Lepisosteus oculatus: one gene and its partners. The protein of the gene in region 1 interacts with the protein of each later gene in a pairwise test. Links are inferred from orthologs where the notes say so. Each region holds a gene or a part of one and is shown on either strand. Other genes may lie near its edges.

Region 1 (7,527 bases):
GAGTCATTTTACTGCCCTACACACTTGTGAATATTACTTTTTGTGTGTAAGGTGATTGCACCCATTCACTGTAATGGTATTTGCATTTATTTAAAAAGGAGTTCCATAGAATATGTGCAACTCACCCAATGATGATAATGTTCTTCTTTGTCTTCTTGTGCCTGTATTTTTAGTAGCATGAACTAACACCTGTATTGACTAAGCTAACTTTATTCTATTCATTCTGCTAATGATTCCAGCAACTGAGTTCCTATTTTAAAACTATTATATCTCTGTTTATGTAGGATTAATATCTGTTACCTTGGGCCTAAAAATATAAAGTGTTGAATCTAATGATTTCTGAGCTTTTTTGTGTTTTCATGTTTGTAAGAGAGGGAAATAGTAGATTTTACATGCGTGGGTGCACGCCAATTATACTAAACATGCCCAGCAAGATAGAACCATTTTAAAATAGTGTCCAATGTAATGAACAGCAAGACTCAATTTAAACATTTCTGGTGAGAAAACAATTGATTTTCCAATGACCAAAGCTTTAGCCTAGCAGCTATCCGGTTGCAATCTTTTTATTGTTGAATGGGATAAAGAGGTATTTCTTAACATTCCCACCTCACAGCACTGGGTCCCTGGGTTCCATTCCTGGGATACTGTGTGGAGTTTGTTTTTGTGAATTCCCTTCAGGTGCTCCAGTTTCCTCCCATAGTCCAAAGGCATAATGGTAGGTTAATTGGCTTATGGGAAAACTGGCCCTGGTGTGCATGTGAGTGCATGTCTCTGCGTGCCCTATGATGAACAGTTTTATTTAATCATACAGTATATTATATGGGTGTTTCAGTTATATAATGGAGTCAATGCATTATAATTTTTTTTTGCTGTCACCTCAACATGAGGTCTTAAATAGTGCTTCTCTTCTGGTTTGGGAAAAATGATAGAATGAAGCAATATTTCATACATCAGTATGTATTAAACACTTCAGATTTATTGATTTATGATTGTCATGTATTCTTAAGAACAGCCTCAACATTACAGCTTCGGCAGTCAGGATGCAACTAGGAATGAGATGCTACTGTCACTGGTCTAAAGCATAAATTCATATATTAAGAATAAGAGAGAGTAATAATACTTTATACAGTCACTGTATACAGAAATACAGTAGACTTTATACAATAACACCACATATTACAACTTAACTACCGCACTCTACAGCTTAACTTTGAGATAACAACTCAAAATACTTGTTAATAATGGTATAATAATTGTTGCTATGGACAGTCACTTTAAGTATAATGACATAAACTCATGTCATTCCTTATTTTGAACTGAAAATGAAACTGATGATTAGTCAGTTTAACATGCAAAACTAACAAACAAAAGGAAACAGAAAAAGATCAGTAACAATAATATAACACTGGTATGTTGTAATATTTATGATTACCAGGCCATTTTGGCAGATAGTTTTGCAACTGATTTTAACTATGGACAAGATCCAGAGATACTTTTTGTTTGTTTTTAAACAGGAAACATCAAAAACGGAACATTAAAATGGAATAACCAAAGATTTAATTTAGAACTTAATATACTGTAACAGGTTTGTTGCTTTTGAAACTGTAGGGATTGTCTTAAAAGCAAGGACCTTAAGTCTTTAACTGAATTGAGCAATACTTAAATGCATTTAAAAGTTCTTTTAAGCAGATAGTCACGCAATGAACAGATTAGATCGTTCATACCACTATTGCCCATTATACTGTATGTAGGTGAATTGTCATATATTGTACATGTATAAAACAACAAACAAATAAATAAATGCTAACTATACTGTACATGTATATTGCATATTCCTTTTTTTAAGTCAGTCTTGGCTGCTTGAATGTTTATTGGGATACATATGTAAGAATTATGTTGTTATGCCTTTTATTTTAATGTTTTAAAGATGTAAATTACCATATGTACTTAAGAGTGCATCTTCTTCCACTGTGTTGGTGTGGGTCCAGATCTTTTCTGAAAGCTTGAAAGCTGTTATATTACAACACAGAAATACACTCTCTCCAACTTCAAAAAGAAGTTTAATGCAGCACATGCAAACTGTATTTCAGACCTTATAAAATGTAGGTTGGCAAATTAATGTCTAGCATACAATCCCAGCAAATGTTTTTTGAAGAGAGCCATGATTGTGGGGGACTAGAGTTTTACTCAGGATTTATCTCTTCTGATTGCACCACATCAAGGTTTTCCTAGTTGTTAACAAAGTTATTATGGACAAACCCTCTGGCTTTTCCTTTGTGGTGTAAAGCATTTAAACTGAGGTACAGGTGCTGGAATTATATACTAAGTATTGAATGCATGTTTGAAATATTTAACATGGGAATAATTAGGCTTAGACATTCCTTGTAACTCAAAGGTTGCCAAAGATTCCCATACTTCCATCAGGCTAACTAGTAGTACATTGAGCATGTTAAAATAAGGTTAGAGCTGCACAGACCTAATTATTTGAATGAAGATCTACTATTTATTCTGTGCATTCAAACTGTGCATATATTATTTAGGGAAATCCATTCTAGTAACATAAATTAAGTTTTACTAAAGTTTAGCTTTTTAAGGATTGCATATCAAATCCATACTAACAGTAAAGAAAGAGATCCAAAGATACAAGAAGTTTAGGAGCATTCAGAATGGAAAACATTTTTACATTGAATTGTAGGAAGCTGACTAGAACTACCTCTCTTAGCATGTTGTTAAACCTGATCCATGGTATCCTTTAAGAAATGGCATCTTGGAATTCTTGGATCATTACGCTACTAGCAACCAAGAATGGCAGCATGGCTTCCTTTCATTTGTAACTATTCTTTTGTAACTTCAGTGCTTGGGAGAACAATTGCTTGGTAATGTACTAGATTCGCAAAAAAAAGTATTGGGAATTATTATTATCGTTTGTTCCATTTCCTTTGATAGAATAATTAAATTTAAGGAATTTTAAAAGAAAGTTAAGAAGTCTTACTGTTCTCAAAAGAATTGATCTTTAATAGACCTTTTTTAAATTGCTTTCAAGTGAAATACACTAAAAGATGACAAGGAAAATGCATGTTTTCCAAGCATTTGCGTGAAGTCTCACACTAGTAGATGTGTCATCTCCAGATGTTTAGTCTATTTTGAGATTTTTTTATACCATCAGACAGCCTCTGCGCTCCTTAATTAAAATGCATGTGTCATATGTTCTTGCTTTTATTTTATAAAGTACTTGCAAAGTCTTTTGGTGATAATTTTGGTGCATAATTACTAACTTGTACAAGTTTCAAACACAGCAAGTATTAAAGCTAAAGAAAAAGACCCTACTTAATCTTTGAGCTCAGTGAAGGGAAAACACACAAAAAGTTTCCTGTTGTGTAAAAATAAATTTTAATTATAACAGTATAAATCATTTCAGTCATGTATAGATCTGGATTTAGATGTGAAGAAGCATTCCAATAACGTTAATTAAAGTTTTGAGATGGAAAGTAAGTCAACTTTGATCATTTAATTTTGATCAGCAAATCAAATAAATGTGATCTGAAGAACATATAAGTTACTAAATGTGAACATTTAAAAAAAGCAGCTATGTTTTGTAACAGGGAGCCATGTACAGTAGGAGTAACTAGGAATATGTTACATGAGTAGGTGATATTCTTTAATAAACAGCTGTATAATATGGATCTCCGTGTAAAGGATTTTCATGCTTTCTCCTACAGAGTACTCAGTAATAAACAGTAGTCAACTAAAGTTTTTTAAGCTTTCATAAAAGTTGCCAACGTTATGATGTAGGGTATATTAATGCATAATTTAAAGGTAAGACAGTAAGAGATTAATCAAAATTTTAATTCCCTAGCTTTCTCAAAATAATAGCCACATTTGAACTACAGCGTAAATTTAGAAGAATTATTACACGCCCCCCTCACTTTGCTTTATTTATTGTAATTGTAATATGAGATATATTCTATAAACGGATTACACTTGATGGAGAACTTTCAAAATACAACTGCGATTTGAAATTTTCCAGAGCACGCTTACTGTTTTGTCAGGTTTATAAAATGTATCTTTTTTTATATATATAAAATTACGTTTGTATATCAAATCGCCACGTGCATTTCATCACCGCCCAATAACTCTTTGCAGCAAACGTGCTTGATTCACAATAGCAAGTGCTTCCTGCTTTGCCTGAACCTTTCTTTGCTTTTCCCGAGGTCAGCACTTCAGCAGTTCTCTGCTTTAGACACCATGTCAGTTAACAAATTGCGTGAGTAACAATATGAACTTCATGGGCAAAGTTCTTCGAGTAATCCATAATGAATGACGTGACCTTTTGTATACCCTTTCATAAGCAGCAACTACTCCACATGAAAAGAAAGCATATGAAAGAAGGAAGAGAGGAGGGAAAATGGGTTGTGTTCTGCCTCCGTTACGTATCCAGTCCCCAATCAGAAACGCTAAAGGCGGATCCTAAAACCGGATTGTTACTAGTGATTGACGCGGTTTGCTAGTTTGGTTACTTATTCTGATCAAGGAAAAAGATCAGAGGAGTGGTTTTCATGTGGGCTTCTGCTTCAAAGTTACTGATCAGTAGTGGATCAGACCCCAGAAAGCAGCTGATTATGCTGAAATAGCACTACCTGTTTCTATTTACAAAAAAATGGCATCTAAAGGTTTAACAGAAAATGTTGCAAACTTAGAGGAGAAAGCACTGAAACCTGAACTTCCTACAACCTGCATGTGCAGGAAACAATGTAACAACTGTAAGATTTTCCTGGGATTCTTCGTATTGTCCCTCTCGTTGCATTTGATCACACTTTTCTGCTATCTGGATCTCAGATCTGAAGTGAAACGCGAGCTTTCACAGAAAAACAGAGATGAAATTGTGACGCCGGGTGCAACTGACTTAAATGAACCGCTTTCCCCTGAATACCATCTTTTGGACATCAGCTACCCTACAATGGACCAAGAGGTAATCGCAATAACACTATTTGTTTATAAACCGGCATCTGTACGATGAAAGCGATAAAGCTGTATCTAAAATAAGAGCGTCTAGAAATCGTAAGAAGAACATTGTGGTCCACCGCAGTTTATTTTTCTTCAACTAGAGCGTCAGTCAAGCATTTTATTTAAGGATCAGTTTGATCGTTTGTAACGACTGTGATTGGTTGCGTAAAACTATATCCAGTCACATTTGGTTTTTTTTAAAAAAAAGGGGATGCCGGTTTTGTTAATATATCACATTTATGAAATGCACAGATTATTTAATAGAAATTAATCGCTTTGAAGCACAAATGTTTTCTGTGAAGAGTAGGTTTATAACAGCTTCCGTTCTGTTAAACCGCGATCTCTCTTCATCCTGCTAGGTAAAAGGTAAGTTAAAATTCTTTGCCGAAGGGCTAAGGTTTCGAAATCGACAATGATATGGCGCTCCAACAATTAGATTTAAAAGTAACAAAGATAAGACAAGTACTGTATTTTAGTTTTTTTTTACTTTTTTTTGATTCGAGAAATTAAAACGTCTTTCTGCGTCCACCATACCATTCTGTGGTTAAAGTTACTCCTCAACTTGTGCCAATGTGAAATGATGTATTGAGAACAGTAGGATTTGTGAATTTAGAATACAATACCGGTACACATGTTCCTGAAATGCAAATTTATACATTTGGAACTGGAACAGCTGCTGTTATACGGTGGAGGGGGGAAAAAGAGAAAACAGAAGTTTGTAGACTTAACTGGCCTTTTACACATGAGCTTTTTATGACTGAACGTTTTTTACATAGTTTTGAGGGGTTTGTTCCTAGAACCCTCATATACTGCTGCATGCACTGATGAAGTTTACCCTACCTGGTTCAGATATTACTGAAATAGTGGCTAACTTTAGGTTACTTCGGTATCCCCTTCGCCATGTGAAGAGCTATAGTTGAACTAATGAAATAAAAAAAAATATGTATCCAAGCTCAACATGAAAGTTTCAGAAACAGTATGTAATGTTCTACAACAGTGCTGCACTACAGAGATGATCCCATTGGTATACGTACCTTCCCGCTCTGGAAATGTTTAGCTCTCAAATGAGACAAGTCAGATAACAGGTACTGTTTGCTTTGACGGAGAGTTACTGTGTCAGTGATGTATTAGCTGTTGAAGATTTATAGTTGGTGCCAGATTTCATGCAAAAGAGCAAGTCTATGTATCCCATGCCTTTAAAAGATTTGCCCATTTACAGTAGAGCACTTTTAACTACAGCACATGAATAGCATAGCTTACTTGTTGACTTTGTATTAAAGGCTAATGTTAAGTTACTGGGGACTACATTTATGAATGTGTCATATGCAATACCTTTGTCACGCCCTTGAATATATTGTACCCTGAAGCTACAGTGGTTAACATTTAGAGGAGATTAACCTGTGCTTAAATTGTGAAAAATTAGAGAAGTAAGTAAGCAGTGAGTAGTGAGAAGTATTTGATTTGGAACCTCTAGAAAAACTAAATGAAGCACTACTAAAATAGAAAATATGGCAAGTAGACGAGCACATAAACTGGCTTAAGCAAATCCTTTTTTTAGACATTTGATTTACTGCTAACATGTGTATCTGATTTTCTTTAGTGTAACTTTCTATGTGAAAAAATTGGGGTCATAAAACAGGTGTTTTGTGAGTGCCTGTCCACAGGAAGATTTCAGATTTACAATATGTGCTAATTGCAATACAATTAATCTTGCATTTCTGAGTGAACAATCAATCTTTCAGAAATACAAGACATGCAAGTACATCATTTGTGCATTTTACTTGCATATTTTCCTGTGATATTGCTAATTAACACAGCTTTTTGCAGCTGCTTTCATAGGAGATTAAAATTGTATTTGTAAGACGTTGACTGATACCAATGGTAGCATCAAGAAACATTTGCAGTAGTAAATCTTTTTCACACTATGGGGTTCTCTTGATCTACCATGAACAGATGACTCTGAAGCTGCAATAAATCCATCACATATATGTGCAAGAGAGTGTGTAAAATTTAAATCTCTTTTTCCCATTACTCATATTTGACAGGTGAAAATGCAGCCATCCCAGAGCACAAAACTCACTTGCACATATAAAAGCTTATTATTAAGTGAGCTTTATAGCTATAAACCACAAAGTCTGGGAGTACTGCATAGATATAAGTGTATGAAGAGCATCTCCAGCTGTTTTAAATAATGTTTGCTAAATACTGTGATGTGTGCTGAGCTCTTTAAAGCAGATGACAGTCGAATAATAAGGCTTGGTCCTTGCTGAGAACAGTTCAAGTGACTTGAACATACTTGTTCAGACTGGCAGCCACAGATGAACTTTAGATGCCTGGAGAGATTCAAGCATGCCATTTGCATATGGCACACAGAAATTCCACTCTATCCCAAAAGATTAACAAGGTACTTCAGTATTTACTTGTTTGGCATATTATAATCTCTTGTTTTAAAATAAAAATAAAGCATTCCAGCTGTTACTGGAATTCTAACATAAATTTCTCTGTTAGATTAAAATACATTAA
Region 2 (7,653 bases), on another chromosome or scaffold:
TGTCTGACCCTTCCCTGTGGCATGAACTGGTATAATGTGTGAGGCAATTCATCCGATCAGATCTGTGCACATCCGAGAGTTGTCAAGAAACCCACTTCTTACATCCATCTCATATTTAACCTCCTAGAAAGCCATTCACATGTGCATGCAGTACAGCAGATATTTACAGTGTTAATATTGTAAGGTATTGTTTTTGAAATCTGCTCAAATGTATCCTGGAATTGCTTGCTACCTAACAACACTCAGTGTTTGTAGATCTGGCAATTAGACAGTGGTATTTTCTGCAGGATAATGATTACTGAGCAAAGACAAGAGAGAGAGATTTTAACATTAATTGATCACTCTAACCTGCAGCGTGATTCTGGGGTCAGTTGCGCTTGTACTTTAAATTCCAATGTGCTGCGTAAAACTCTCAAATGAACTGTGACACCTATACCGATAAAAATGATTAATTTAACTTACCAATCTGCACATCAACAAATAAATGGGTTTTGTTTACCCTCACAGTCACTCTGCTTGATCAAATTGTCTACGTTTCTGTTAAGAAAAATTGGGCGATTGCTTTGGTTGTTTCTGTTAGTGCTCAGAGTGTTGCTAAAAAGGAGATGGTTATCACTGTGGTATAACAGTGTTTAGAGCAGAATACTAAAGCTTGTGCAATATGCATGTTTAGTGAATCTACTATGCTCAGTTTTCTTGCAATCTGAGTAAGGGAATTCAATCAAATAAAATGAAAAAATAAATGTTTTGTGAAACAGTTTTTATTTTTTTTAAATAAGAATAAACAGTATAATTGAAAAACAGAAACCACCTCACAAAAACAATTTGCCAATGTAACAAGTCAAATAAAAAAAATTCTGGCCTTTATAGAGGTTATCAAACAAAAATTAAAACATTTTCTCTTATGTTTCTCAAGATCATTACTAAATTACTGGATATCCATTGCAGAAAGATTCATATAAAGTTTTATTTCTATAGAGCACGACACTTTCAGGCTGTCATTTAAAGTCATTATTTCTGGTACAACCTGGAAAATATAGTTCTGCACAATATCAGACTTAAATGGTTCTTTGACCCGGCCCAACAGTTTTTCCAAGAAATGAAATATTCAGGGGTTCATAAGATTTCAGCTCCTTCCGTAGAGACAGAAGAGTGATCTGTTGCATTAAAATGCCTTTTGTACTTCTTGTCTCTAAGTAATGTCAGGCATAGATATTGACCTTTACCAAACTGCATCAGCTTATTTTGAAAAGTTTAGGCAGCAGGGAAAATACATTTTATCTACTATATGACTGCAGTTTGCTTGCCACCTTTCCAAGTAAGGATTTATGATGACTTGAATGGCACGCCTGGTTAATTCCCAGAGTATGGTGCATTTGCGTGGTTCAGAAATATTTTTGGTTCAAGAGCCTCAAGGTTACCCTCATAATTCCAGACTGTTTTATGGAGCGTGTCCTGGGAGATGACAGCAATTTCTTTAAAAAAAAACACGACCTTTCCTGACAGATTTTATGGTGCATCAGAAACACTTCAGGAAGACTTTTTTTAACATTTACGATCAAATCGCAGTTCATCTTGAACTACTAAAATTATAATAGTCGTCATGGGAATAAACAAGAGGTAAATGCGTATGCAGAAATAATGAATATGAATACAGTAAAGATTCAATCCAGTTAGTGACTGAATATAGTTAGTAACAAGATAAGGACACAATGAATGATAATATAGCATCGGCTTAACTTGACAGAATTTCATCAAGAACATTTCCTTGATTCATAGTTATTTTGTCAGAACACCACAGAGAAACATTAACTGTTATCACCACCAGCATGCAAAGCACCTCATTATCTGAGGAAGGAGATCTCCAGGAACTCATTAGTACCATTCTGGGACAGGAAATTCTAAGATTAACCAAATATAGAATAAAAGTGATCTTCTGTAAAACTTCAGTGTAAGTCTAGATCTTCAATATTTTATACTAAAAGTCACCCAAAGAGACTCTTTCAAATACAAGGCTTTGAAAAAGACCCATTTGTCTTGTTTCCTCTTGATGAAGTTCAGACCAACTGAATTTGATATCCAATTGCCAGAGTAAATAACACCCTTTAGACGGGTTAATTCAAGTTCAGTAAAGGAGAACCAGGAGATGAGAGAAACCCCTTACAGCCTGTGCTGTTGGATGCCTCCAGTAACTCTCTCAGAAATGTTCACGCATCTTGTCCCTTACAGTCATAATATTTTCTTATGCTTCATTGGTTGTGTACATTGCAGTTTCTTTTTAAAAAGGCTCATCTGCATCGATCATACTACTTACTCCAACCAGAATCCTATTGAAAAGGAATATTGAAAAATGCAAATCATTGTGTGAAAATGATTTAGCAAGTGAAATAGAGGCTGCAGGATTCAGTTCATCCAGAGATAACTAGTAAATTGGAAACTGAGTTTCACAAGACCCCTATCAAAGCATTATTTCATCATTAAAAATCAGTCATCTCATTAATAATTAAGTTGCTCCTGAAGGGGAAACCAAAAATATATACAGTCTTTTAGTACGCCTCTAATAATGAGAGCAGAATTTAACTTTTGCCTCTGGGTTCACAAGGGTTCTGTACTTTGGTATAATTAATATTTTTCAGCTGGATTGTCTACTTTTAGTAGCAAAACATATTCATAATTTGTTTTCATAAACAAAGTTTAAAATTGTATGATGTGCTCTAAACTTGTTTGAGGCCTTCTCTAAACTTCAGAATGGTAAGAAATCACTTGCACTAATTAAAATGAATCTGGAACTGCACATTCTGGAAGCCAGTTTCTGCTTTCTATGCACTAAGGTCGCCTGCTTGCCTGAGGGTGAGAAATTCAAGTGGTTAATGAGATAATGTAATAGTTTATTGCCAACTTTCTTATTCTTTCTTTTCAATAGTGGTTACCCATTGCATTCTCACGTTACTCGTTACTACTACTCTATAGCAGTCTAAAACTTTATTGAAAACCGCCTGCAGCTCTAGAGTATTAACACATACTCTGCTAGGTTCTGTTTAAGGCACTTCCTTTGATCAATATGCAGCTCAGCTACTATTACATATGGTTAGATTGTAGTTTCCCCTGACTTCACAATTTATTTTTATAAAGAGAGAAGGTAATACCCTACCTTGACTTTCTTTTGTGTCACACCTGGTGGTAAAACAGTAATGACTGTTCCATGCTGCTCCTATTAACAAAGTCACCATCTTCTGTCAGTCACTGACCCTGTAGCTCATTGTGATATTCCAGTGCCCACTGCCCTATGAAGGAAGACCATGTTATTCCCTTCTTGAGAGTGAAATGACAAGTACTGTATCTTGGCTTATAATGAAAATACCTTTGCAGTCTCCCTGCGACAGAAGCCACATCCTCAATGGTCGGTCAAGTGTGTCATACTCAACTCCTGGACTTCAGATCTCAATTATGGGTTTGGGTTGGTGTGCTTAAACATTTTAAAACATGACCAGATACATTGCTTAAAGGTGTGAAAGAGTTGTTTGTAGAATGGTGAATTGTATTCCAGTTAATCAAAATATTGGACTGAACAAACAGGGTTGTGGAATGGACTGGAAGTCTGAAGAGGAGTCTGACAGCCTGTAGTTAATAAAGCTCAGTGTTTTTGTAACAGACAAGCAGGTCACAAACCTACGTCCTGCTGGGAGACTGTACCCTAGGGCACATCAAACTAGCACTGGGGTCAGTACTCAGAAAGGACCTAGAACAGGCTCAGGGTTATTCTTTCCACTTCATCCTGTAGCTCTGCCTTCTTCCTGTCTCTTGCAGCCTTTCTTATTTATGGCTGCCTTCACCCTGCCTCATGTCAGAATAACGGGCTCTGCGTCTCCGATATATGCAGTTATCACTGCTGCTCCCAAGAAGAATATCTCTCTGTTAGCATCATTTCCTTTTTCTCTCAATCCGTCCACGTGGGGAACCGTCTTTAGGCCTTTGGACTTGTAACTGTAGGGCCGTGGGTTCAAATCCCAGCTGGAACCCTGCTGCTGTGGCCTCCGACCTCAGACTGCTCCAGTAAAACACCCAGCTGTATAAATGGGCATCCATGAAAGCTGCTTTCAATAAAGTTGTTAGCCAAATACGTCAGTGACTGTATCTTGCCCATGATCCCCTCTGTGTCCCCTGTGAATCTCAAATAACCTGCAGGAATGATCACTGGGATATTTTTTTCTGAGAGGTGACTGCAAGGCTGCACAGCAATCCTTTAAGACACTCTTGGGAGAAAAAAAATCACTAGTAAACTGCAACCAACCCTTCAGCTCCCGTGTAATAATAGCAGCTTAGCTACACATTCCTGTACAAAGGAACGATGTCCAGGACATTGAGTTAAATTATTTGTTAAACCGATTCATCTCGGGTTTGTAGACTTTGTTAGTGTTTTTTTATGCTCTATTACTTGATTTCAGTTGATGCAAATATTTAATATTTATCACTTAGGCCTACTTACTCATCTAAAAAAAAAAAAAAAAAAAACGAGCAAACATCAGTAGCGCTGATTTTACTAACCTGTGCAGGTGAAGCACACAGGCGCGAGGCGCAGCGTGAGCCGCGGCCGGGCACCCACAATGCAACGCGAAGGGGCCACGTAAACATATTCGCCCCGCCGTTGAATGAGGAAGGCGAACATGGATGAAATGTGACTCGGGGAGAAAAAAAAAAAGAATTTCGCGAAAAGGCTTTTCATCAGCAGCCGTTTAACGCATGGTCCGTTTCAGGTCAGCATACTGATGAAATTCACTCACGCTTTTGCACGGTTTGTCGCTCGTGGGCCTGCTTCTTTGCGCGGAGTTTAATAAACCCGGCGGCGAGAAAAGCCTCTTGATTTTAGAGATCTCTTTCCGAGCGCTGTGTTTCTGCCAGGGAACTGAAAAAAATAACATTTAAGGTCTATCTCTTTTTCATCAGATGGCCGTTCCCAGGAATGACTGCACTGCAGTAAGTGGGTATAGAGGGAGGCGGGTTCGGGGATTGAGGGAGACGAGTGCATTTGATCTGTTAATGTTACGCTCGTTACTAAAGCTATTACAGAAATGCATTCATGTTTTTTTTTTAATTTATGGAATTCGGTTCCCTTATGTCTTGCTGCCGAGAGTCGATTTTATTTTAGAAAGGCGATACCGTTACAGCTGCAGGCTACGTCCAGTCCAGCTGTTTGTCAGCGGGGATCTGAGGTTTGTCCTGTGACTCGGTATGCCTGTCGACTGCCTTCGTCAGGTAAACCTGCGTATCGTAAGGCGTTGCTGTGGCGAATTATGCCCATGATGCAAAATTATAAATGTCGGTAAAAGAGGACGATGGGTGTAAAAACGGATTTGTTACAGTAAATTAATCTTCTTGCAACTCAGCCATCCAGGCGTCGCCCCTAATGATCGCCTTCACATCAATAACGCGGAGAAGTGGTTTTGTGTTAGTTCATGCTGTCCCTATGGTAAGCGTTACAAGCAGTCTTGAGTTTTCAGAAATGAAATGTTAAGGTGTTAAGGCCATTTTTTTTCACACCCCCAACCACAGCTTCCGTGAGCATTAGATGAAACCCTTATTTCCCCGTTTTCATTTCGCCTGTAAAGGCGTGCGGAGTGCCCGGCGATGTCCGCGCCTGCCCTGCCTGTCGAGAGCTGTGGTCGCGCACACTCGTTCTGCAGACGTTGGCACGGCTGTTTGATGAGCCCTTTCACGACGCACCGCTGAAGAGCTCCCCACAAAACTCAGCCTTGCGGTTTTATTTCATCCGTGCCTGGCGTTGCGGTTCCGCGGGCTCCACGGCCGCCGGCTCACGGTGGTGTGTTCTCGGTGTGGCCGTGCTAGGACGTTACCTGCAGGGCGCCGGGACTCTCTTTCAGAAGCTCTCCAGGGTTACAGATTTTCCCAGGGCCCCGATCAGACTAACGATCCGCAGCGAAGACATCTTCTTGATGAAGTGCAGTATTCCATCAGGATAATTGCGGAAATAAGCAATACATTGAACAGACTGCTATATTGCCGGGGTCATCATTCCTTGATGTCCTACCCTGAAAGTATTTGTGTCTTACAGTCATTTTACAGTCAGTCCTGGTTTCTCAACCAAGCGTATTGATTGTGGAGAACAGCTTGACAAGCAGGCCGGTAATGTCCATAGGACATAGGAAATGAGATGCAAGAAAAGTGGGTAGGCATTTACTTACAGTACTGTCTTATCCTGTCTGTGCCACACAGGTTTTCTTTTATTCTTAGGTTGCAGCGTGATTGGCAGGCATTTAAGGAATGCTTTATTCTCATTCCCGCCAGGCACTTTGTGATCCCTTTTTTCCCCGATGCTTGCAGTTTTGTGTTTGGCAAGTGCTCCCGGGAGGACGAGTTAACCTCTGTTCATCCTCGCGGTGCTTGGAGATATTTGTTTTGAAGGGGAAGCTTGGATTCAGTTGCCTTTTGACTGGAGTGGGATTGTCTTAAATGTCTTCTTAATTCGTTGTCAGGTGCTTTCCATTCTGCAATCAGAAATCAAGTGGCAATAGCTTTTAATTAACAGATGTGTTGGAGCCAACGTCCTGCGTGTGTGGGGTTGTATTACTGTTAGTGGGAGGGCAAACCTTGAGAAAAAGTCTCATGGCTGTTATCTGTTTGTCAGGGGTTCGATTATTTCCAGAAGGTCGCCACAATATGAATGACCCTTTTTTAGCAACAAAATATATTTTTTTATGAATGGCATGTGGATTAATTATAATCCACCTTTCATTATGTAAAACAAATCAAAATAAATTCCTGCACGTACAAGAATAAAAACAGACATACACGTGTGCAGATAATGGTGTATTTGTTGGACTGTATCTGAAGGAGCGAGGAGTTCCTGAGAAGAGGGCTGGAGAGCAGGTGTTTTATACCTGCTGGTATCAAAACGGTTTGTTTCGTGTCTGCCTTCACCCCGCGACGAGTTTCATTCTGGGGGGTTATAGACTGGGAAACAAAAATGGACTTAAGAGTCAATGGGAAGACCACAAGGGTGCAGAAATCCAAGCGTGAATGTGTAAAACTCTTTCTTCCCTCGGCAGGTCGGGTTTCTTTTAATGTCATCCCACAGGGTGGTGGTTAGTCTAATGGGTTCGGGCTCCTCCAGCTGCCCTGCATTTTACAGGGTTGTTCAGCTCGGAAGGTGCTGTTCCAACCCCCTCTCCAAGCTCTGACTTGTAATAATGTCACAGGCTCTCGTTTCTTTTTTTTTTTTTGCAAAACGGTATTCTAGGTTCGGTGCAGACTCTTAGAATGAAAAATAACCGCTGGCGTTTGTATATCACTTTTCTTCCCGAAAGATATTTTGTGCTTGTGCGTTGTACTTTAATCTTGTAATGTGAATGTTCATGTATTGCTAGGCTTGATTGAATCTGCTTCATTGAAATGTACTTTCTTGGCTAGTCGGGAGACAGTTATTCTTATTATATTGGAAGTGTGTCTTCAAATCCATTTAGCCTACAGTTAGGTTAACAGCAGCAAAGGTTATTGCAGCCTTCTTGATATTGAATAAAGTGTATAGCCTGTGCTTTTACTTCAGTCCGTCGTTTTCTCTTTTTCTTACGTAAAGGCAAATCATGTTTGAACCTAAAAAACAGGATGAAGAAATAAAATGTTTGCTAATGCTAATGA
Region 3 (7,018 bases), on another chromosome or scaffold:
CTGGTGCCTTTCCCAGTAAGCAAAGGGGGCAAAGCAGGCTACACCCTGGATGGGACACCAGTATATCACCAGTACTGTATATCACAGGGCACACACACTCTCACACCAGGCCCGATTTTCCTATAAATCTATTAACTTTCCAGTATGTCTTTGGACTGTGGGAGAAAACCCACACAAACACAGGGTGAGCGAACAAACTCCACACAGATTATGGTAAGACATGTCTGCAAAAACAAAGCTTTTCACTGAGAACCTAAAGGCAAGAATTCTGTGTTAATGGTTGAATAATCGCAGTGCTGTGATGATTAGTGCGGCTGCCCTACAGTTTGTCCGGGGATGATTCTGGACTGGGGAGCCTTCTGTGCGGAGTTCTCCCCACAGTCCTGTGGAATTTCGACAGCTGCTTTGGTTTCCAAAGACGCCCTGGATAAGTTAGTCACTGCCCCTGAATCGTCCCTCTGTCTTTGCCTGCAGTCTGTCCAGAGTGCGATCCCACCTTGTACTCAGTGCCTCTGTGTTATTGTGACTGTTATGACCTTAAAAAATACGTCTAGGGTCCCACCAAAAGTCGCAACACAAAAGAATGCCTGAGAGATCGGACTTCCCCGAGAAAACAAATCAACTTTATGTTTCCAAAAAAAACCCCAGGGAGGCAGAGGTGCACATCTGTATTCCAACTGGGAGAGGAAAGACCAAAAGGAAAACAAAACCCCAACAAACTAACTGACTAAAAAAACAACAACTAGATAAGCTAGAACTGGAAAAAAAGGTGGTTGTGCTTAACAATGCGGTCGTACCAAAAAAAAAAGTCTTCCGCGTCATACCCATATCTACACTAATAACCTACCCAAACCAAAAGCAAAAACAGAAAAGCACACAACATGTCTTTCCCCCATCCCTAAAACACTCCACTCAACTAACCTCATTCACCATCCCAGATGGGTCTTCCCTTTTGCAGCCTCATTTTCCCCTTTGAAATGTTTCTGCCTCATTTGCTTAATATAGTAATTGGCAGCGCCTGGAGAAAAAGGAGAAAACAATAAGGGGGAAAAAAACTCTCCAACTGAGGACCGCAACAGTGACCATGAACAAGAATAACTAGCTTTATGATAATGAATGAAGCATTGTTCTTTACAATAGTGGACCATCTCTTTACTGTAATCCATCTAGTCAGCTGACGAAAAGCTTTGGTTCATGAAGGGAGCTAGGTGACATTTGCACCCCAAGAAGTCTCCCACCTTCGGGTGGTGCGGTGGCTCTGTGGCTAAGGATCTGCACCTGTGGCTGGAAGGTTCCCGGTTTGTATCCTGTGGCTGGCAGAGGAATCCTCCTTTGTTGGGCCCCTGAGCAAGGCCCTTAACCCCAACTGCTCCAGGGGCGCTGTATAAATGGCTGACCCTGCGCTCTGACCCCAAGCTTCTCTCTCCCTGTCTGTGTGTCTCATAGAGACAAATTCCTAATGCAAGAAATTATATATGGCCAATAAAGTGATCTTATCTTACACCTGGAGTCGGCCTTCTACAGTACATTGCAGGGTGAAATTAATCTGTACTTGGTCCTTACAGTCTCTAGTGAAGGCTTGTCTAATATTTCTTCTCTCCCTACCTTGAAGGTACAATATTTTTTCTATATTCTTTTTAAAAAACACCTAGCCCCACTGAGGTCATCCACTTCTTTCTGAAATTCACTCGCTGTTGGAAACATCCACCACACGTAAGATTTTGCTCAGTAGGACTGAATTATTTTTTATTTGCTGCTGATCTTTCTTTCTCCTTGTGATAACTGAAGACTGACTGAGCATAAAACAGCGACTGAGGTGGAACTGGCCAGAGCTACTGGCCACGCATGCACCAAAATGACAACTTTGTTACCACTATGTGATGCTATAGGTGTCCCTTCTGTCACAACAGTCATCAGATGGAAATCTTTATTCTCATAAGTTGTTTCTGTTTTGAAAGTGTTTTAAGTTTAATTTAGGATTATCAAACCTTTCTTTTCTTAGCTATTAAGGCAGCAATAGGCACTAGTTTTTTAATGCTCTGTCGTACTATGTTTGATACTTTTAACTATAATCGATTTTCAACTTTTCATCTTTTTGAGAAAACATGGGCTGTTTTCAGGTTCTCATTAAAGCAGGGGAAGAGACTGGCACCACGAGAAATCTTAAAACTGCCAAGTTTACAGAAAGACAGAGTCAGTTTTTTCAGAGGGTGAGTCAGTTTTTCATTCTCTAAATCCTTTTCCTATTAAAGTTATTATTTTTGTAATCCTAAATTGCCTGGCAATTCATATTCGTACAACTGCATTTTATATTATATATATTTTTATACATTTCATTTTTACAGTTTTCCAAAGACAAAGACAGACAAAAAATTGAAAAATTATTTCTTTAAAGTGTTCCAATTGCTTTCCTTACGATTTCTGCTGCACTGTGGGTGATGTGCTCAACATTAAAAGTATTATGAAAACAGACAGGATGAATGGAAATCAAGGTTAACAAAATTTAAAAAAGAATACCTTGTAAAGCAAAGGCTCCTGTTTGATGCAAAAGCTGGGCCTAACAGACCAGATATCACCAGTTCCTACCTGTGCTTATTATAGGCCATCACTCTGTGACCTTGACTCTCAAACAGTGCTCAAGTAGTCAGATTCTGCAGGAGCTGGCCAGGGTGTCCTCAGATTTGCACTGCTAGAGACAGTCCTGCAACTGGTCGGGTAATGTCGAGTTTTCAGTGTTATTGGTGATATCTTGCCTTTAATGCCACAGGTTGTTTGCGGATACTGTGTACTCAAGAATATTCTGAAAAGCTTTTGTTTTTCATCACCAAAATTGTATTCATTTAGAAATTTTGCTGCTGGAAAGAGGTTAGTGAGGACCTTGAGGTCCATGTGGGTCCTAATGCCCCAGTATAGTGACAGGGACACTATACTGTAAACAGGCGCCGTCCTTCGGATGAGACGTAAAACCAAGGTCCTAACTCTCCGTGGTCATTAAGAATCCCAGGGCGTTTCTCGAAAAGAGTAGGGGTGTAACCCCAGCATCCTGGCCAAATTTCCCATTGGCCTTTACCAATCATGGCCTCCTAATAATCTCCATCTCTGAACTGGCTCCAACACTCTGTTCTCCTCCCCACTGAGAGCTGGTGTGTGGGGAGCATTCTGGGACACTATGGCTGCTGTCGCATCATCCAGGTGGGGCTGCACACTGGTGGTGGTTGAGGGGAGTCCTCATTATCTGTAAAGCGCTTTGAGCGCAGTGTCCAGAAAACCGCTACGTAAGTGTAAACAATTATTTTATTTTTTTTCTGCGATGTGTGAAAGACACACCGGCCCTCCTAGCAACAATAACTGTCCTATAAGACACTGTAGACCGTCAGACAGGCCTCTCCATGAAGGCACAGCCTGACGAGAGGGTTTTTCAGTAGGGCTCTCCCCCACGTGGCACAGGGGCGTTGGCGGAAATGTCATTTTGGTAACTCCAGATGGGGAGAGTATAATTTAGGAACATAAAAAAAATGATGGAGGAGGAGGAGGGTGTGGGTGGGGCATAAAAAGCAAGAGAAAATGTAGAAACCTGACAGAAATAATGCACAACAAAACCAGGGAGCCCAGCAATGGTGCAGGAAGAGAGAAAAACTAGACTTTCTCTTTTCTCCTTTTCTGCTCTCCCTTCTTTTCCAGAGGCCTGGGCCGCGTCTCCACACAGCCTGCTCTTCAGGAACGCAGTTGCCCAGCAGATGTTTCTCCTCTGCTGGCTGGAAGCTGAGCGAGCTGGGCTGCTACGAATGTTTATGTGACCTTTTCATGTGGTGGCAGACCTTGGGCGGGTCTAGTTGAGTCATGCTGCAGTTTTACATTTGGACCTGGCTGAGGAACTCAGAGAGTGTGTGTGTGTGTGTTGGTGGGGGGAAGGCAGAGAGGGCTTCTGGAGAAAGGAAATGGGCGTTGAAAACGTCCTTCTAAAAAACACTCCTCAGTTTTCTCCTCCCTTTTCTCTGGAAGTAGAGGGGGTGGGAGAAAAAAGGGGGTGGGGGAGTGATGGGTAAGAGAAGGATAAGAGGGTGGAGAGAGGAGTTTTCTTCATACAACTCTGACTCCTCATTCACCGTACAGTACTTGTTGTCCTGGGAACTGCAGTTGAAAAGGTGAGGTGTTGTTATTCTTAAATGTGAAAGGCTTTCTGTAGCTGTTGAACGCTGGTTAACTGTAACTTAGCCCCTTTTTCTGGCTGATGGCTGTTCTCTGTATGTCCATTAAGTTTAGAAACTAGTTAACGTAGTTCACCATGTTGTTCACTTTCACAGAACTTTCCCTCTCCGTTTTTATTAAGGAAAAGGAACTTTCATTTGTGTTTATTCCTGGTAATGTTACTGTGTGCAAGGCTGAAAGCAGTCAGCTGCTTGTGTTAGGGATCTCTCCTACCTTGCTGTTTGTTGAATATGGCTGTTCTTTTCAGGCTGTTGGGATGAGACGACATCTCAGGCAGTGTGTGTCCTTCAGACTGCTGTCCTGTATGTGCCTGGTCTTGTTGAATGGCAGCAATGTGAGAAAGATGAATGGAGAAATTGTGTATCTGTGTGATGCTCTGTCCCCAAATCAGGTGCCTCAGGATTAAATCTGCAGTTATTGAATGTGGAAGTCTTCTTCATGCATGCGTCTTCAAAACTCAGGGAAAGTGGAGACTGTAGGGATTTTCAAGGTCTGTAATTTAGGAAGAAGTCAGTAATATTATCGATTGAATAGGAGAAATAACCCCACAAAGCCTAGTTTTAGGAGATCACATCAATGGTCATTTACATCTTCATCATAATCATCAACATCATCCTCATTTCCAGTCATTATCAATCCACTTCTAGATGAAGGTATCTTCCAGGATTTTCATTTCCAACATTTTTTATCAATTTTTTCCTTTCTGATTTTTAATTTCTTCGAATGACTCCAGAGCCTCTGTCATGAGTCTGCATTCTGTACTTGCTCGTGGAAGAATTATCGTGTGTATTGTAGTATGTGTGTTTCTGGGTGTGTACGTGTGTGGCTGAGGGATCTCTTAAAACTAGCAAGGTTGTTAGAAGGTTTTTGTGCCTTCACCCCATTTCACAAGACAACAGGGGATCTGCTAGTGAATTTTTTCCTGAATGTCTGAACTCCTGTGCATTGTATCATTTTGATATACCTAAGTGGTAACACTAGGTATCATTCAAAAAATTAACAAATCCCCTGTGTTTATCACTTGGTGCTGTACATAACTGAGGAAAACCTCTGCAGGAGTCATAGGTCTGGAATGTGACATATCTAACTATGAAATTTTAGGTTTTGTGATGGGGGATGTACAGTATGCGTCTACTTCACATATATACTGCAAACAGGTTTAGTTAACCTACAGTACGGAATAGTACCAACAGCTTCTGAAAGGACAGTAGGTTTTGTGGAGAACTCCATTCAGTCTAATTTTGAAAATCATTTTATTCTTAGGAAGGGAATCCCAGTCCTGGTTATAATGGATCACTGTGTCTGCTGGTGTTAATTCCAGTTGACCTCTTTAATTACTGGGGATAATTGCTCACTTTAAAGGAACAAGTAAGGGTTTATTCTATGGTGAAAAGAGAAGAAAAGAAACACACAGTTTCAACTGTGGAGCCTTCTTCGGGAGTGTGAAGAAGAAGGCTCCACACCCGAAACGTTGTGTTCCTTTTCTTCTCTTTTCAGCATAGAATAAACCCTTACTTGTTTCTTTGCAGCCTACGCAAGCTGACACAGTTACCTAGTTCAACTTCATTTAACAGATGTGTGTTAAACCTGTTAAACTTTTGGAAAATCATATCGCTTATAGCTTCTCAACATGCAGGTCTTTCAGTGGTCATTTTTCTACTTGCTTCGAAACGATTGCTCCTGGAATTAATTCTGACTAAAGATAATCAATTTGTGATGAACAGACATACTTAAGTTGGGAATGACAATTTTGACAGTCCCAAAATCCACGTTTGTTTCTCCACTTCTCCAGTAGTCCAACTGGATACATTTCAGGTAACTTGCCTGAATCAGGGGAAATCTGATCATCAGAAACCAGCCCAATTAGGGTTGATGGTGTTTACATATTCCCAGTCTCATTCACTGTAATTGATTAATTACATTCACAAGCCTAACATTGTAGGTACTGAACACAATTATAGAGGTAAGCTTCAGAAACTGCAATCATTTAACCTGCGAATACCATCTCAACTAGAACAAAAAGCTGAAAATACAGTGGTACCCCAGGAGCAAAATTAGGATCCCCTGCTTAAGTGGGTCACGGTGAGGGGGACAGGGCATAAGGTGTGTCTGGCACCCTGGATGGACACCAGTCCATTGCAAATCATTTGCTCCATTGCAGGTGAGCAAATCAGAAACGCCACTGGAAAATCATGTCTTTGAACTGTGAGAGAAACAGGGATACCCACAAATACCCCAGGAATACCTCATAAAACCTGAGGAGAACATGCAAACTCCACACAGACAGAGCCAGATTTAAACCCAGATCTCAGGAGCTATGAAGCAACTCTTCCGGACCATCTGTTGTGCGACAGTCATTTAGTTAAACCTGCACAATAGACAGAACCGGGATCACATTCAAACCAGCTTGTTGCAACCAATGTTTTTCTTGGACATGATCAAATCACTTTCAATAAGCACTTATCCGAATCAGGGTCACGATGTCCCAGAGTCTATCCCAGAAGCTCTGGGTGCATAGGGGAAAACACCCTGGACAGGATGCAGTCTATTGTAGGGCAGACAGACAAATACAGCAGACTCACACCAGGGCCAAATTCCCCAGTGTCATGGTTATCATCCCTCCTCTAGAGGGTGCTCCTAGCTTTTTGCTATTGATTTTAGTTTTAGTACTCCCAGCTGTGTCTATCCCCTTCTGCGTTATATAAGCCCTGCGTCTCTGCAAGATGGACGTCCGAAAGCCCGTCCAGCACCAGGCTTGGAGATAGCCTGAGGGCTTAGGCTTTCATCCCGACATCCTGAGCTCTGTGCC
Region 4 (7,245 bases), on another chromosome or scaffold:
TATTCTAAAGACTCATATACAACTACGTTCCGTAATTGAGTACACGTTTTTTGTGTGCGTTTTATACGTTTGTTTCTACGTTTTCGGGCCATGACCAGACACGGTTGTTTTCAAGCTCGAGGATTAATTGTTTGAAAACAAAATGTAGGTGCGACAGAACATCGCACCTAAATGGCTCATATTTAGTCCTAGATTTATACAGTACCTCGTTGCTCCCTATGATGACTAAAATTAACACTGATACATCTACAGTATAAGAACTAGGCTTCTTGAAAATAGTTCCATTAAAACATTAAAAACTCACCTCTGACTTCCAAATAAATATCCTAATACACCTCCTGTGCCCATTCCAGTCCAAAATCCAGGCCCCGAAGCAGGCTTTTGGTGAGGTCTTGTGAAAGTGTTTTTAAATCCATAACTATCTCTGGCACTCTCATAACCTGGTGACTCTCCTAAAAAAAGGAGAAAAAATCAGGCTTGTTATTGGAGGGATTTTAAATAAACCAACATTTTTATAAAAGCAACATACAAGAAAAGTACAATGAACTGAAGATTTCATTGAGCAACATTCCAATTAGATTTTACTGACCAATATATTGCTCCAATTAATGTTTATCATACAATGCTTAATATTTAAATGAACATATATATCAAACAAATACATAACAAGCAGAAAATTCAGGAAAAAAACATTTTAAAAATTAAACTTTAAATCCTAACCCATATACGTTTCCTGCATTGAGATCCATCGACATTTTATACAACTCTGAACATTTCCTTCCTTTTCCAAATTTACACTATACCTCAGTACTGCTTTGACCTTGTTGAGAATAACCAGGAAACCTCTAGTGGGAAAAATAATATTAAACATAAGCCTTGGAAAATTTCCACGTGCAAGATTCCTCACAAGTTACAAAGGAAAATATTTGTTATCCAGGAGAAGTGAACTCCTCAGGTACCTGTGTAGTATGACTTAAATCCCGGAGGAGATGGGCCCATTGTGTTACCATCAGTGAAGTGGCCATCGGTGTTGGCGTTGGAAAAGTCTGCATCAGGGAAACGCTGGTGTCCTTGTCCGTGTGGCCCACACAAGAACATCTTATATACACCATAGGCCAAGAGCAACAAAACAGCAACCACCATTAATCCACTGACATCACCTCCAGAGCCCTGATAATTCACATTGCTTGAGGAGTCCTGAAAAAACCCAGATCCAAAGCTCCTACTGTTCCTTCCCTTCTGCTTTCCTTCTTCAGTCAGTTCCAGAGTGTACTCCAGCCCACAGGAACCCTTCAGCACATAAGGGTCATCTGGATAATTATATCCCTCACAGCTCACTTCTATTTTTCCAAATCTATAAGAGTAATCCATGTCGGTTTTACACTCCCACTGTAGAATAAAAATGACACGAAGAGAAATAATTCAAACACAACACAAAATCATTTTGATAGTCTAGCTCCAATGAAAACATATAACATTTGTTTTGTACATTCTTCTAGTGGATGCTGCACATTGGTGGTGGTGGAGGAGATCCCCATTACGTGTAAAGCGCTTTGAGTGGAGTGTCCAGAAAAGCGCTATACAAGTGTAAGCAATTATTACTATTATTATTATTCTGCTGGTACACAAATGTGCTTGTAGAAGATCATAAGCCTGTTCAACCAAAGGCTTATGAGCAAAATGAAAAGCCCTACAGGGATGCTCTTAAGGTAGCAAGGTCCTCCTTCTGTCTCAGACTTGTTGAGAGATGTCCTTGATACTGCACATTATGGCATCCTAATGGATTACATGGAGATTATCCTGGGGTTACAGGTACTTTCCTTTATTGGTTTGACTTTTTATTTATGATTTATTTATTTAATGACATGATATTTAATGATCAGGAACCAATTTGTCAATCTTGATCATTTTAAATCTGATGTTGTTCCAGGTACTAAGGGATCTGTGTTGAGAACTTTACTATTTTGTAGTTGCACCTTCCCACTTGGTCAAATAATCAGCCATCATGAACTCGGGTTTCACTGTTGTGCTGAGGACACTCAGATTTACTTGTAGACTGAAGAAATCACATACAGTACTATTGTTGTGGTTTCTGTACTTTAGATATATATACACAGAGCAATGTATCTATCTTAAGCTGCCAAGACAGAGGTTATGCTCATATCCGCATCACAAAGTTGGACTCTAGAATGTTGATGGTGTTGAAATGAATCCCATGACAAAAAGCAGTTAAGACCCTTAATCTGTATGATGCTGAAAGATAGATACCATAATTTCATCATGATAATATGAAATAGTATGGCATCTAGTAATTTACAAAACCGGCTTCAGTATATCCAGAATTATCCTCATTTACATAAGAATATAATGACTCCTACTCACACAAAAGGCTCTGAAAATTCTAAAGACTTATTACATGAGTGTAGTCTAGCTCTACATTCCTACAAAGATGATGATCATCTTTGAATTGTCTTGATATGTAAGTAGCCAAGTTACACATACCTGAACATCAAAGCCATCCCATCCTTTGTTATGACACTGAACTACTTCAGGAATGAAAGAGCCACAACCAGCAGTTCCTCCAATGCACTGTAACTGTGGAACAGGGCTGGTCCTGCGAGAATTGGTGTACTGTCCTTTGTACAGAGTAATCACCTGAAGCTCTCGAAGCAAAACACTCCCTGCAAACATACCAGATACACTTACAGTATGGCTTTGAAACACAAGCTTGTCAAGAACACATTAATACATTTTACTGACAAATTTTGAAAAATCATCCATTAAGACCCCCATAATCCCGATTTTCTACCTTCTGGAAACGTAGTCAAAATCATCAAAGAAACAGACAATAGGAGGCACTTTGTAACCGAAAGGGTTTTGAGTGTATGAACCTATCCAGCCATGTTGTTGTTTTGAAGCTGATATCCTGGCTTCGTTCAAGAAATATCTGGATGAGATCCTCGGATCAATTAAGCACAAACAGGAACTGTTGTATATTGTAAGGATCTGGTGCTATAATACTTGTTAACAGAGTCATACAAAACTCTAATAACTATCAAACTCGTCAATTTAAGTGCAGATAAACAAGTGATAAACCCATCACTTGTTATAGATTAAACGCACTGAGGTAGCTCTATGGAATTAAAACAATATAGAACAGTTACAGTTTCCGTTTCAAAACAATGTGACGTAGCCTGCCTGCAAAAGATCTGCAAATAACAGCCACAGATTTCAACTTACCTCCATCGTTCCAACTCTCAGTTCGCCCTGTATAAATAAACAGCACAAAAATGGCGACGAATATCTTCATAATTGCTTTCTGTACAAAAAAAAACAACAACACAAAATGAGAACCTAAAATATCGAACAATGTCGTTTCCGGGGTATTTCACCTATCGAAAGCAATATTACAACTATTTTAAAAAGTAGACCAAGTTGTTTTTATATAGAGACTATATCACGTCTCAAGTATATGTACATCTATATGTCAAATCTTCCTTGCGATACCACTATGACTATCACCTATTAAGAGAAGAAAAACTGCTATGATTTCAATACTGTGATCATTATTGCGATTGTTTTCATCATGCAATACAATGTCTGTCAGTTTAAGGCTTTTCTATTGGCTTGTTCCAATCACGCGGAATAAATACGATGGCGTGAGAGCTTTTCAAGACGACCATTTTGTTGAGGTCAAAGTATATTATACTAGCAGGCTATTATTAAAGATTGTAGTTCTTGGTTATTCGAAATAATAACCATAATAACCAATTATGTTCCTATCACTCATAATAAACAAACACTAGTTATATCCCCCACTCTTTTATTAGGCTTCTTATTCCGAAAACCGAGATGGACACAACACTAATGGGAAATATTGCGACCCCTAAAACAATGGATAAAAAACTGTCTCTAGATGTTTTACTATTGCTGTAATAATCGCAGTTAGTGCAGGCGCTGTCGTTTCGATTGGGTCTTTATACTTGAAGTGTCTGAGCAAATATCTCCTAGGGAAAAATAATACTTTCCACGTTACTTTTGACGTGATTTGTATCTGTGCAGATGATACAGATAGCCAGATCTTGCAACATTGCACAAAAAAAAACATTTCAGAAAGAATTGCTTCTTTTTAAATACCCGATTTTCTACATTCCGTTAGATAATTGCAAAGTCTCTCGAAAATAATCTTAACTGCGCAAGGAGTGCTGCACCGTTAGGCGCAAGGAACCATCCGTCTGTCTGGCGTCGAGCATGCGCGCCGGGTGAGATTGCTGGGAATCGAAAGTGTGTAAGGTTGAGGATCAGCTGTTGTTGAAAGATTTCATGTTGAGCTGAAATGGCTGGGATTAAAGGTGAGCAGTGACTCGTTGAATCTTATCTTCTGATACAGTAATATAAGCAGTCCCAACAAAACAGCGTATAGATAGAAAGATTATGACAGCTGTCTGCTTGCTTGGCAACATATCCTCTTCGGTTCGTTCATGGTTTTTTCTACAGGCCAACACCTTATTAAATGTGATTTCAGTCTTTATAGCTTATAATACCTGGAAGTCTCAAAAATTATTGATATATCAGTCTATATTAATGGATGTTTTAATGCTTTTTTCTTTTGTTATTAAAATAGCCGTGTGCTTTTCAGACAAAATGATACAACCGTTTGTCGTTGCATGATCAACAAAACAATGTATACAGCTATCATACAAAGGCACAACGTATCGGTATATTGAACTCCGTAGTTTTTCACAGTTTACACCGCACATGGGTAAAGGATTTAAAACCGCTAATAACTTTAGTGGATTGTATATTTATCATTTAAGCCTGTTCCGGTTAATAAAAAAAACTCGTCAGGTTTACGGAATTAGATATTTTCGTTACCGTGTCATTATAATACACTTAGAATTGAAACTGCTTTAATTCCAGTTTACAATTAATATCGCATTTTTATTTTTAACAATCAAATTTGCTGCAACAAGAGGAACACGGTACTAAAATAATACTTAAACAGAGAAAATTTGACGATGTTTTTAATCGTTTGAAAACTATAGAAACAAGCTACTCAAGAGGCCACCCTTCGACAGTACAAGGGATCTTTGTGTGATTGATCACATGGAGATCATGGAACTGAGTACTTTGTAGATGTGAACTAGCTGCTTAATACATTTTGTAGTATAATGTGGGTTTATTGAATTAATGAGATGAGGTATTAATCTAACCCTCAAAACGATCCTCACTGTGGATGGAGTATGGGACTGTGCTAATGGCTGAATGCACTATTTTCACACCCGTGTTAGATCTTGGTTAGATTGTCATTGCAAATCATAATTTAAATTGCCTGCTTAAAGTATTATTATGAGTTAAGTGATCAGTTTATAATTTTGTGCAATTAATATTTTCTCTGTTCTTACATTCTGTAATCTCGAAGAAAATGTTAGATTGCTCCTTCACCATGATGACAAATGATAAAGCATCCACTGCAACACCTGAACTTTTTATTTTGTAGAAGTTTGCTGTTATAATCGTTTATTTAATGTACTCCAATACATGGAATTGCTTGGATATTCAAAGAAGCTTTATGTGTCAGGAATGATTTTCCCTGGTATCCTTATAATTGTCCACACATTTTGTATTGCGTGTATTGCATTTTGTTCTTAATCAAGTTATTTATACACTGTTGTCACACCTTTCAAGTTTCTTTGCTTAGTTTCCATCACAGATTCTTTCTAAGAATTTTTAGAATGTACAGTACCAGTCAAAAGTTTGAGTACACTTGCTTGAAACCAGGTTTTTCATGATTATCTGTGCTTTAAACTGGATAAACATGTCTATAGACACTTAATATTTAATTACATGATATGTTTACTTATAATCTTAAGTGAAAATGAGCACTCAAAGCAAGCAGATTTCAGTCCGAAGCCCAGGTTAGTTTAAAGTCAGAAATGTGTATAACATGGTTTTAGAAAACTAAAAGAAGTTTAAAACTGTATTTGTCTTTGTTAGATGTTCTCACACTTAATTAGCATGTTACCTCATTTACCTTTTGTCACCAATTATTGGTAAACACGTGAGGGTCCATGATTACTATAAATATAGGGGGCATAGGCAAAAGTTTGTAATTCCTGAATGAACATGGCAAAATTTGCTCAGCAATCAAGGAAAAAAGACAGTCTATAATTACTTTAAGAAATGAAGGTCAATCTTTAAGACAAATTGCAAGAATTTTGCAAGTGTCTGTAACTGCTGTGGCCAAGACTGTCAAATGATATGAAGAAACTGGCACTCATGAGAACTGAAAAGGTTCAGGTAGGCTAAAGGTGACCTCAGAATCACAGAATATGTTCATTAGAGTCACAAGTCTGTGAAACTGGCGACTAATTGCGTGAAGCTGGCCTACCAGGAAGAATTGCTGCGACTAAACCATTGTTAAGAGTGCAGAATAAGAGGAAGAGACCTGTCTGGGCCAAAAATCACAGAAACTTCACACAACCTCCTCTGAACAGTTGATGTTGAACCGTCTGTACTTCTAGTTGCATTTATTGAAAATGAAAAATTAACATTTTCAGTGCAGTTCACTTAAGATTATAAGTACACATATCCAGTAATGAAATATTAGGTGTTTATAGACAAGTTTATACAATTTAAAGCACAGATAATCATGAAAAACCTGGTTTCAAGGAGGTGTAGTCAAACTTTTGACTGGTACTGTACTTTATACTGTAGCTTTATTTTACTTACTCCTGCCAGAAAAATCACAGTGACTCATTTGAACCTTTACTAGTACTAACTTAATTTTGTTCCAGTCAGCTGATGTTCTGTAGGTTCTTTAAAATTATACAAGAGCTAAATATATGTGGAAAGTTTTAACCTATGAAGAGAGTAGAATCAAGTTCTTAATAATTTTGTAATTTAGCAAGCTGTAAGTCATACTGCACAGTAGCTCATGTAGGATAAATAGCAAGTTATGATTTGCACAACTGGACTGAAAATAGTGTTCCGAGTCATAAGGAGATTTTGCAGAATAACAATGCCAATCTGACAAATGCCAGCGAATCAGGTTATGGTGATTTGGTCAATATTTTTTTCAGATGTTATTTTTTTTTTGCTTTCTCAGCTCTTATTAGCCTGTCCTTTGGAGGAGCCATTGGACTTATGTTTCTTATGCTTGGATGTGCTCTTCCTGTGTACAAGTGAGTGTTGTTCCCTTACACCGAATTTTCTGCTTGACAAAGACTGACACAACAGCACACA

The links.
Region 2: the proteins of eda (region 1) and sec22a interact in binary tests that used the Homo sapiens proteins (3 or more experiments, as listed by UniProt). The two-hybrid records come from large-scale screens. The link is inferred for Lepisosteus oculatus from reciprocal best matches to the Homo sapiens genes EDA and SEC22A.
Region 3: the proteins of eda (region 1) and epithelial membrane protein 3 interact in binary tests that used the Homo sapiens proteins (3 or more experiments, as listed by UniProt). The two-hybrid records come from large-scale screens. The link is inferred for Lepisosteus oculatus from reciprocal best matches to the Homo sapiens genes EDA and EMP3.
Region 4: the proteins of eda (region 1) and leptin receptor overlapping transcript-like 1 interact in binary tests that used the Homo sapiens proteins (3 or more experiments, as listed by UniProt). The two-hybrid records come from large-scale screens. The link is inferred for Lepisosteus oculatus from reciprocal best matches to the Homo sapiens genes EDA and LEPROTL1.

What each region holds. Positions count from the first base shown.
Region 1 is NC_090703.1:44,535,305-44,542,831, forward strand, and holds the start of eda (ectodysplasin-A), read left to right. Parts: upstream 1-4,502; 5' UTR 4,503-4,657; coding exon 4,658-4,969; intron 4,970-7,527. UniProt on the Homo sapiens protein: Cytokine which is involved in epithelial-mesenchymal signaling during morphogenesis of ectodermal organs. Functions as a ligand activating the DEATH-domain containing receptors EDAR and EDA2R. May also play a role in cell adhesion.
Region 2 is NC_090707.1:4,672,286-4,679,938, forward strand, and holds the start of sec22a (vesicle-trafficking protein SEC22a), read left to right. Parts: upstream 1-4,637; 5' UTR 4,638-4,754; intron 4,755-4,906; exon of another isoform or gene 4,907-4,974; intron 4,975-5,248; exon of another isoform or gene 5,249-5,467; intron 5,468-7,653. UniProt on the Homo sapiens protein: May be involved in vesicle transport between the ER and the Golgi complex.
Region 3 is NC_090720.1:12,369,103-12,376,120, reverse strand, and holds the start of epithelial membrane protein 3, read left to right. Parts: upstream 1-4,017; 5' UTR 4,018-4,145; intron 4,146-7,018. UniProt on the Homo sapiens protein: Probably involved in cell proliferation and cell-cell interactions.
Region 4 is NC_090696.1:9,252,484-9,259,728, reverse strand, and holds the start of leptin receptor overlapping transcript-like 1, read left to right. Parts: upstream 1-4,226; 5' UTR 4,227-4,336; coding exon 4,337-4,352; intron 4,353-7,108; coding exon 7,109-7,184; intron 7,185-7,245. Other genes in the region: saraf (store-operated calcium entry-associated regulatory factor), read right to left, coding at 305-452, 960-1,389, 2,503-2,681, 3,241-3,310. UniProt on the Homo sapiens protein: Negatively regulates growth hormone (GH) receptor cell surface expression in liver. May play a role in liver resistance to GH during periods of reduced nutrient availability.